2 linked regions of the Saccharomyces cerevisiae S288C genome follow. Each later gene encodes a partner of the first gene's protein in a complex. Each region holds a gene or a part of one and is shown on either strand. Other genes may lie near its edges. A codon is read from its position in the direction of its gene.

Evidence for each region. Proteins that work in one complex are often made in the same cells at the same time.
Region 2: the proteins of FYV10 (region 1) and RMD5 are in contact, whole or in part, in a cryo-EM structure (PDB 7NS4), measured with the Saccharomyces cerevisiae proteins. Residues at the interface, in NP_012169.1 of Saccharomyces cerevisiae: Phe7 (codon at 3,013), Asn8 (codon at 3,016), Pro10 (codon at 3,022), Val12 (codon at 3,028), Asp13 (codon at 3,031), Phe14 (codon at 3,034), His15 (codon at 3,037), Leu16 (codon at 3,040), Lys17 (codon at 3,043), Leu18 (codon at 3,046), Gln20 (codon at 3,052), Phe23 (codon at 3,061), His24 (codon at 3,064), Tyr27 (codon at 3,073), Leu30 (codon at 3,082), Ile34 (codon at 3,094), Thr37 (codon at 3,103), Gln38 (codon at 3,106), Ile41 (codon at 3,115), Asn42 (codon at 3,118), Thr45 (codon at 3,127), Lys46 (codon at 3,130), Leu48 (codon at 3,136), Leu55 (codon at 3,157), Asn56 (codon at 3,160), Phe59 (codon at 3,169), Glu68 (codon at 3,196), Ala70 (codon at 3,202), Leu71 (codon at 3,205), Ile74 (codon at 3,214); in NP_010541.3 of Saccharomyces cerevisiae: Ser2 (codon at 2,573), Glu3 (codon at 2,570), Leu4 (codon at 2,567), Leu5 (codon at 2,564), Asp6 (codon at 2,561), Phe8 (codon at 2,555), Glu9 (codon at 2,552), Phe12 (codon at 2,543), Phe15 (codon at 2,534), Tyr16 (codon at 2,531), Leu21 (codon at 2,516), Thr24 (codon at 2,507), Leu26 (codon at 2,501), Gln27 (codon at 2,498), Leu30 (codon at 2,489), Thr33 (codon at 2,480), His34 (codon at 2,477), Phe36 (codon at 2,471), Lys37 (codon at 2,468), Leu40 (codon at 2,459), Lys41 (codon at 2,456), Lys44 (codon at 2,447), Leu47 (codon at 2,438), Asn48 (codon at 2,435), Ile51 (codon at 2,426), Arg74 (codon at 2,357), Ile78 (codon at 2,345), Leu81 (codon at 2,336), Trp88 (codon at 2,315), Asp89 (codon at 2,312).

Annotation. Positions count from the first base shown.
Region 1 is NC_001141.2:177,433-182,477, forward strand, and holds FYV10 (glucose-induced degradation complex subunit FYV10), read left to right. Parts: upstream 1-2,994; coding exon 2,995-4,545; downstream 4,546-5,045. Other genes in the region: SGA1 (glucan 1,4-alpha-glucosidase), read left to right, coding at 572-2,221; FMC1 (Fmc1p), read right to left, coding at 2,340-2,807; BMT5 (25S rRNA (uracil2634-N3)-methyltransferase), read right to left, coding at 4,685-5,045. UniProt on the Saccharomyces cerevisiae protein: Component of the GID E3 ligase complex recruiting N termini and catalyzing ubiquitination of proteins targeted for degradation.
Region 2 is NC_001136.10:965,247-970,272, forward strand, and holds RMD5 (ubiquitin-protein ligase RMD5), read right to left. Parts: upstream 2,577-5,026; coding exon 1,311-2,576; downstream 1-1,310. Other genes in the region: CHL4 (Chl4p), read left to right, coding at 1-1,243; CTA1 (catalase A), read right to left, coding at 2,887-4,434; RKM4 (ribosomal lysine N-methyltransferase), read right to left, coding at 4,744-5,026. UniProt on the Saccharomyces cerevisiae protein: E3 ubiquitin-protein ligase component of the GID E3 ligase complex recruiting N termini and catalyzing ubiquitination of proteins targeted for degradation.

The DNA.
Region 1 (5,045 bases):
CCCGGCATTCATATATGTACATACATTTATGCACATATATATATATATATATATGTATATGTAAATGTATATATACAGCTTGTGATTTCGCGCGCCGAATGGGCTGAAAAGCACAGTATAGTGGAGAAGAAGAGAGAGGAGAAGGGGAGAGGGGCAATAGCAATGGATGTGGTAGAATACAGGGAAGGCCAAGCTGTTGTTCAATGGATGCGGTTCGAGGCCCAGCGCAAGGGGGGCGCTTCGAAGCATAGAACATTATCCGCGGAAACGGGTATTAGGGGTGAGGGTGAATAAGGAAAGTCAGGGAAATCGGGCCAGAGTAACACCCATTCATAGCACTCGTACAAGGTGCTTTTAACTTGCCTGCATGTGTGGAGTCACAAATTAGGGGACTCAGGCACAGAAGCAAGGGTCCTTTTTTGGTTCCCTGTTTCCTCCTGCGCATTTCGTATTTTTTCTCATCTCTTGGCTCTGGATCCGTTATCTGTTCTGTTACACAAGAAATCGTACATTTACAATATAGTGATAATCGTGGACTAGAGCAAGATTTCAAATAAGTAACAGCAGCAAAATGGCAAGACAAAAGATGTTTTATAACAAATTACTCGGCATGCTCAGCGTAGGATTCGGGTTTGCTTGGGCGCTCGAGAACATTACTATATACGAATTTGACTTTGGCAAGGGCATTCTCGATCAAAGCTACGGCGGTGTATTTTCAAACAACGGCCCTTCGCAAGTGCAGCTGCGGGATGCAGTCTTGATGAATGGGACAGTGGTATACGATTCAAACGGCGCTTGGGACAGTAGTGCGCTGGAGGAATGGCTCCAGGGACAGAAAAAAGTTTCCATCGAAAAAATATTTGAAAATATTGGGCCCAGCGCCGTGTATCCGTCTATTTCGCCTGGGGTCGTGATTGCGTCACCATCGCAAACGCATCCAGACTACTTCTACCAATGGATAAGGGACAGCGCGTTGACGATAAACAGTATTGTCTCTCATTCTGCGGGCCCGGCAATAGAGACGTTATTGCAGTACCTGAACGTTTCATTCCACTTGCAAAGAAGCAACAACACATTGGGCGCTGGCATTGGTTACACTAACGATACAGTGGCTTTGGGAGACCCTAAGTGGAACGTCGACAACACGGCTTTCACGGAAGATTGGGGTCGTCCTCAAAACGATGGGCCTGCTCTTCGAAGCATTGCCATCTTAAAAATCATCGACTACATCAAGCAATCTGGCACTGATCTGGGGGCCAAGTACCCATTCCAGTCCACCGCAGATATCTTTGATGATATTGTACGTTGGGACCTGAGGTTCATTATTGACCACTGGAATTCTTCCGGATTTGATCTATGGGAGGAAGTCAATGGCATGCATTTCTTTACTTTACTGGTACAACTGTCTGCAGTGGACAAGTCGCTGTCGTATTTTAACGCCTCAGAACGGTCGTCTCCCTTTGTTGAAGAATTGCGTCAGACACGCCGGGACATCTCCAAGTTTTTAGTGGACCCTGCGAATGGGTTTATCAACGGCAAGTACAATTATATTGTTGGGACACCCATGATTGCCGACACATTGAGATCCGGACTGGACATATCCACTTTATTAGCTGCGAACACCGTCCACGATGCGCCATCTGCTTCCCATCTTCCGTTCGATATCAATGACCCTGCCGTCCTGAACACGTTGCACCATTTGATGTTGCACATGCGTTCGATATACCCCATCAACGATAGCTCCAAAAATGCAACGGGTATTGCCCTGGGCCGGTATCCTGAGGACGTATATGATGGATATGGCTTTGGCGAGGGAAATCCCTGGGTCCTGGCCACGTGTACCGCTTCAACAACGCTTTATCAGCTCATTTACAGACACATCTCTGAGCAGCATGACTTGGTTGTCCCAATGAACAACGATTGTTCGAACGCATTTTGGAGCGAGCTGGTATTCTCCAACCTCACGACTTTGGGAAATGACGAAGGCTATTTGATTTTGGAGTTCAATACACCTGCCTTCAATCAAACCATACAAAAAATCTTCCAACTAGCTGATTCATTCTTGGTCAAGCTGAAAGCTCACGTGGGAACAGACGGGGAACTAAGTGAACAATTTAACAAATACACAGGGTTTATGCAGGGTGCCCAACACCTTACCTGGTCCTATACTTCATTCTGGGATGCCTATCAAATAAGACAAGAAGTTTTACAGAGTTTGTAGACAAAAAAAAAAATAAAAGGAAAGCGAGAAGTATACACAAGTGTATTTCCTAGATATTTACATCAAATATATATATATACTTATTTACAAAACTCTGATATTATAAATTGATTAGATACTATGTCGGAACGTCCAGCCCAACCACGTTTGCAGTTCTTTTCACTTTCTCATCCTGTGTCAACTTGTTGCCAGGATTGTATCTGTCGACCAGCTCCTCGTATTCTCTTTGGTTGTCCAAGAACTTGATGATGTCCAAAGCGTGTTCGAATATCTCGTCAACGTTTTGTCCCTGGGCCACCTTTTTCTCCCACTTTATATCGTTTTGTAATATGGAACGTAATGACTTAGAGTCGGCTATAAACAAATTCAAAGATCTGTCGCTTACCGGATCTAGTTTTTTCCATTTCTCTAACTGTCTGTTGATGTTCTCATGCGAGTCTCTCTGATTTTGTTTCTTAGCATATTCCAACTTTGTTATCATTGCCTTTCGTAGATTGCCCCAATTGACTATCTTGCTTGGCCTTTCATATTTCAGAATGGCTCTTATGAGTCCTCTATATGTGCGTAATGTTCTTGGTCTATCCATTTCCCTGGCACTCTCTCTTTCTCTCTCTTTTCAGCTTTTTGTTATCCACTTATCGCTGCAAATGAAACTCTAGTGCAATTTGAGATATTCACTTTTTGCAAAGGCGAAGAGAAGGGGGTGGTTAAATCTACAATTTCATACATAAAACAGAGAAAATGATTATAAATTATAGGAAAGTAGGTAAGCCATGGCAGAGAAATCAATATTTAATGAGCCTGATGTGGATTTCCATTTGAAATTAAATCAACAATTATTTCATATTCCTTATGAACTACTGTCCAAACGTATCAAGCATACTCAAGCGGTAATTAATAAGGAAACCAAATCACTACATGAACACACGGCCGCATTAAATCAAATATTTGAACATAATGACGTTGAGCACGACGAGTTGGCACTAGCAAAAATAACTGAAATGATTAGGAAAGTTGACCATATAGAAAGATTTTTAAATACGCAAATCAAGTCCTACTGTCAGATTTTGAACAGAATTAAAAAAAGGCTGGAGTTTTTCCACGAACTGAAGGACATCAAGTCACAAAATTCAGGAACATCGCACAATGGAAATAATGAGGGTACCAGGACTAAATTGATACAGTGGTATCAGAGTTATACAAACATTTTAATTGGTGATTATCTGACGAGGAATAACCCGATTAAATACAACTCGGAGACAAAGGATCATTGGAACTCTGGCGTAGTGTTTTTGAAACAGAGCCAACTGGATGATCTCATTGATTATGATGTCCTCTTGGAGGCTAATAGAATTTCGACTTCGTTACTACATGAGCGTAATCTCTTACCCCTAATTTCATGGATAAACGAGAACAAAAAGACACTGACCAAAAAGTCCTCTATATTAGAGTTTCAAGCAAGATTGCAAGAATATATTGAACTACTAAAGGTGGATAACTATACCGACGCTATAGTATGTTTTCAAAGATTCCTTTTACCATTCGTTAAGAGCAACTTCACCGATTTAAAATTAGCATCTGGACTTCTGATTTTTATCAAATACTGTAATGATCAAAAGCCAACTTCTTCTACCAGCTCTGGATTCGATACTGAAGAGATTAAGTCTCAAAGTTTACCAATGAAGAAAGATCGAATATTTCAACATTTTTTTCACAAATCTTTACCTAGAATTACCTCCAAACCTGCGGTGAATACAACAGACTATGACAAGAGTTCCTTAATAAATTTACAAAGTGGAGATTTCGAAAGATATCTGAATTTATTAGATGATCAAAGATGGTCGGTATTAAATGATTTATTCTTGAGCGACTTTTATTCCATGTATGGCATATCACAAAATGACCCTTTATTGATATACCTGTCACTAGGTATATCGTCTTTGAAGACAAGAGATTGCCTGCACCCTTCTGACGATGAAAATGGAAATCAAGAGACGGAAACTGCCACAACAGCAGAGAAAGAAGTTGAAGATTTACAACTCTTTACGCTACATTCACTAAAAAGGAAAAATTGTCCCGTTTGCAGTGAGACTTTCAAACCAATAACACAGGCATTACCATTTGCTCATCACATTCAGTCTCAATTATTTGAAAATCCAATACTATTACCAAATGGAAATGTTTACGACAGTAAAAAATTGAAGAAATTGGCCAAAACATTGAAAAAGCAAAACTTAATTTCTTTAAATCCAGGTCAAATTATGGATCCAGTTGACATGAAAATATTTTGCGAATCAGATTCTATCAAAATGTACCCAACCTGAAATAGTTTCAAGCTATATGCATTTTTTTATATAAAGATTTGTCCAACTTTCACAACTATTTTACAGATACTTACGCTATATAAGAATTAGGGAAAATGAAAGTTCTTTCATCAACATGGCGACATTCTTCCTTCTGTACTTAGTCTGAATCAGAATCTGTGTCTTTTTTGCTTTTACGGTTATGTTTTGAACTATTCGAGACATATTTACTAAAGATGTAGAACCTAGCATCACGTTCTTTCGCAGGTTTTGTAGTATCTTGTTCGCTATTCGTTCTCCGGTGATGATATCCTGGAAAATTTTCCCATTGGAATTTGCTCGATCTGCTCAGAGTTAGTCCATTTTTTTTGGCTAAAAGTTTGATTTGCCATGAATCATAGGGCTCTCCATCGAAAAGGGACAGTATGATGTTACCATAACCTTCGGCGGTCAATTTTTTAGCCTGGGGAGTATCCTCATTAAGATCATAGCCTTGCGTATAACGAAGAGTATCATTTTGA
Region 2 (5,026 bases), on another chromosome or scaffold:
GTCATTTGATGGTGACATATATTTATTGACAGAAACATTAGACTTACTGATTGAGAAAGGCGTGAGGCGAAATGTTATAGTAAATAGGATATTATACGTATACTGGCCGGATGGCCTGAATGTTTTCCAATTAGCAGAAATAGATTGCCATTTAATGATAAGTAAACCAGAGAAATTTAAGTGGCTTCCATCAAAAGCTTTACGGGGAGATGGGAAACCTTACGTAGTAAAGCTCCAACCTGCCAAATTTATAGAAAATTTACAAACAGATCTAGCGAAAATTTACCATTGTCATGTTTACATGTTTAAACATCCCTCTTTGCCAGTGTTAATTACCAGAATACAGCTATTTGACAGCAATAATTTATTTTTGAGTACGCCTAATATAGGGAGTATAAATAAAGAGTCTCTTTACAACAAGTTAGACAAATTCCAAGGGAAACCATTAATATCAAGGAGACCATATTACGTTGCATTCCCGCTAAATTCTCCAATAATTTTCCATTCAGTTGACAAGGATATTTATGCTAGACTAGTTTTGCAGAGCATTAGTCGAACGATATCAGAAAGAGAAACAATCATCTTCAAACCGGTACAGAAAATACCCGTGAAATCAATACATAATATAATGACTTTATTAGGACCTTCGAGATTTGCGGAGTCTATGGGCCCATGGGAATGTTATGCTAGTGCTAACTTTGAACGGTCACCACTACACGACTACAAAAAGCACCAAGGCCTTACTGGTAAAAAGGTAATGGTTAGAGAATTTGATGATTCTTTCTTAAATGACGATGAGAATTTTTACGGAAAAGAAGAACCTGAAATTAGACGACTAAGGTTAGAGAAAAACATGATCAAATTCAAAGGTTCAGCAAACGGCGTAATGGATCAGAAATATAATGATTTGAAAGAATTTAACGAACATGTCCACAATATTAGGAATGGAAAGAAAAATGAAGATTCTGGTGAGCCAGTGTACATTTCTAGATACAGTTCCTTAGTTCCTATTGAAAAAGTTGGATTCACTTTAAAAAACGAAATAAACAGTAGAATAATTACCATAAAATTGAAATTTAATGGTAATGATATTTTTGGGGGATTACACGAACTATGCGATAAAAATTTAATAAATATTGATAAAGTTCCTGGGTGGTTGGCTGGAGAAAATGGATCGTTCTCAGGAACGATAATGAATGGAGATTTTCAGCGAGAGCAGGTTGCTAAAGGTGGTTTACTGTAGAAAACTACTGTGTTCTGTTATCGCTTCCAATAAAAAAAAAAAAAAAAAACCTATGCAAAAATTTCAGTCAAAGCATAACAAAACGAACCTTTTTTGTACTGCTCATTGAAGTATTTACGGGGCAGTATGGGCACTTGAAAGTAATTGTTCCGTTCTTCGATAATCTGTCTAGCGCCTTTTTAGAAATGATGTGATGGCATGCCAGTGAATAAGGAGGATTTTCTGTAGTGGTTTCCTCCTTTAAGACGGGACAGATGAAGATCGGATGGAAATGAGTCAGAAAATCTGGTAACTTGACATCAAATGGCAACTCATCTTTCGTAGTCCAGTCAACGTGCGCTAACTCCCTGATGGTTTTGTATTTGATGAAAAATTGGAAAGAAATTAAACCACTCAATACTATCAAAAACAAGGGAGAGTCAAAGAAAATATGTTTTGCAGCACAATATTCTTTTATAAATAACGACGTGCATTCTTTTAATTCCTTATTTACTTTAGAATCAATATCTTCAATAGGTTGACCTATTAGCGATTTAGTTAATAATGGTACGACGTTTTGCATTAATTCCTTCTCCCTATGTCTAAAGCAATCCAGGGGTGCGTTCTGTGTTATTTGGTAGTACAACTCTACCGGATTTCCATGCTTCACTATCTGCATTGCTGACAAAGTGTATAAATCAAATTTTAGGGACGATAAAGCCGTATGGTTAGATGATAAGCTTTCCATTTCATTGGAGCACCATTTCAGACAGCTTTCTGTGTCACCCTTTTTAAGATCATGTACGATTTGGCCCATCTCAATAAATTCAGTAGATTCTTTATTAGTAATTCCGTAGACATCTTTTAGATACTGGAAAGCCTCATTTTTATTTCCTAATGGCATGTTGTCTATACTATACCTCAAAATATGGTAACCGATGGCTTCATTAACATTTTCCATTGTCTCTTTCGGTAATTTATTGACATATACGCTATCTATATCAAATTCTTTTAATTTGTTCAGCGTGCTTTTGTTGAAGCGATTCGACTGCTGAGAAACGTACTTTATTTGTTTCTTTACTGAATGGTCCCATTGCCTCTGTGACTTGCTTAGCTTCTCAATAATTAGTTCTCTTTTTCTCTTAAACTTTTGTTTCTCCTTATCACTCAGCTTATTATAGACTTCTGGTTTTGATTCCTGAATATGCTTGTTTAAGTGCGCTTTCAACTTCTTTAATTGACTCTTGAATTCATGAGTATGATCAAGACATTTTTGAAGGTTTGTCTCTTCCAGATTGCTGTCGGTATAAAATTTCGCAAACTCTGTCTCAAAGCTATCTAGTAATTCAGACATCGTTTCTTGGTTCCCTACTCAGTGCTGCATCTCTCTTGAAGACACACTTATCTCATACTGAATGTGTTGAACTTTACCCCTAATAATAGAGATTCCTCAGCTTTTTCCCCGGCGCGACGAGCTTTCCTATGTGTGAAATGATAATTTTTTTAACTTTCTAACACGAGAATATGAGCATCACCTATTAGTCGTATAAATAAATAATTCATAACAAAATACATAAATTGTAATAAATAAAATGTGTTAAAAATACACACTATCATAAATAATTGTCGTGGAAACAACGCCACTCATTTGTTACTTGAGCGTTTCAAAATTTGGAGTTACTCGAAAGCTCAGAAGCATGTTTTGCCTCAGCTACTTTTTTAATTGCCTCAGATAGTCCCTTATCAACACGAGCAAACATATCATAAACGCGCTGCTGTATTTGAGGACAGGCGCCTTCTACATGAATGCCGATGTTATATGCCAAGTTCTTTTGCTGTCCAGGTTGTTTACCCAAAACGCGGTAGAGATTTCTTGCTTGCACGAAATCTACATCACCTGGGGATGTTGCCCAATGATAAGGGATAGCTGGCCCATTCCATACCTCTTGGTGTTGTTGAATGGGTCTGTCCTGTTGGATATACGTGTACGATTTATCGTTGGCCAAATATGTAGGTTCTGAGCCGAAGTTGCCGTTAACATTCATCGGTCCATCTCTGATAGCGGGATTGAAAAATTTAGATGCATATGGACAGTTTACGGGTATTTGATGGAAGTTAGGACCTAGCCTGTATCTATGAGCATCCGCATATGAAAACAAACGGGCCTGTAATACTGGATCAGCGCTTGCTTCTTGGTAAGGAACCGTGGTACTGGGGGCGAAGGCAGCTTGTTCCACCTGTGCGAAGAAGTTCAGTGGATTCTCGTTCAAAACAATCTTACCCACACGCCGTAAAGGGAATTGCCCCTGAGGCCATACTTTAGTCAAATCAAAGACTGAAAATGGTAATTTTTTGGCATCGCGTTCGGTCATTGTTTGAATATAAACTGTCCAGGAAGGATAGTTTCCATTCTGAATAGCCTCAAATAAATCCTGCTGGCAGTAATCTGGATTGGATCCCGCAATTTTGGTAGCCTCTTCTATGGTCAAATTCTTTATTCCTTGATCGGTTTTGATATGAACTTGCACATAATGCCAATCTCCGTTTTTATTGGACCATTTATAGGTATGACCAGAATAACCATGCATACTACGGTAGTTGGCAGGGGTACCACGGTCTGAAAAAAGGATCATTACTTGATGAATGGCCACCTGATTTTCAGGAGTGGTGAGGAAATCCCAAAACATGTCAGCATCCCTTAGGTTGGTTTGTGGGTTTCTCTTCTGTGTGTGGATAAAGTGAGGGAACTTGGAAGGGTCTCTGATAAAGAATACCGGTGTATTATTGTAGACCCAATCTAAATTACCTTCTTCAGTGTAGAATTTGGTGGCAAACCCCCTTGGATCACGAACCGTGTCGGCACTACCTTTATCACCACCCACAGTCGAAAATCTTGTTAGACATTTCGTTCTTTTCCCAATTTTACTAAACATAGCAGACCCGCAGATATCAGTAATGTCATCGGTTACTTCAAAATAGCCGAAGGCACCAGAACCATGAGCATGTGGATTCCTTTGAGGAATATTTTCCCTGTTGAAATGAGCCAAAGAATCAATTAAGTTATAATCTTGCAAAAGCAAAGGGCCATGTTCCCCAATACGTTGGGTGACAAATGGTTCATTGATTGGATTACCAGTGGAGTTTGTCACAACTCTATCCTCTCTTACATCAGAGTAATTTACTTCATTTTTTTCTTGTCCCAATTTCGACATCTTCTAGGGTTCCAAATTTATTTGTAAGTACTATTATATTTATTTAACTTACCTTTTAAATAAACCTACAAGAAATTCAAATGTACGATTTGGACATTACAGTGAAGAATGCTTTCTACATCTCTTTATATGTATGGCGATATCAAAACTGGTTGTTTCTCCAATTCTGTCACTGTGGGGATTTTCGGAGTTTATATTTGTTAAAGCCGTCCTTTTTCGGATTAAGGGACCCCACCAACTTGCGCGGCTAATTCCGGCCAACTTTTTGCATTACTAATTGCGGCTTTAAATAGTGGTTAGAACAACCGCTCACTTCTTCACGCAAGGACGTTTGACAGAGCTTTTTTCTTCCTCTGTCAACTTTCTCTTTAAAATATTAGTTAGCAGCTTTTCATCAGGAATAACCTTGTAATTCTTGTCGATGGTTTCTTCACAAACTTGCAGCGAATCTATTTCGCTTTTCAAAACTCTCCGAGCCATAACATCTCTTAGTTCTTCCCTTGTTAATGAGTTTCCTTTCGAAGGTTTTTCGATAGAAACGCACTTTTTTATGGGGTAATCGGCTAGACGCTTCATAATACAACGTTTCCAT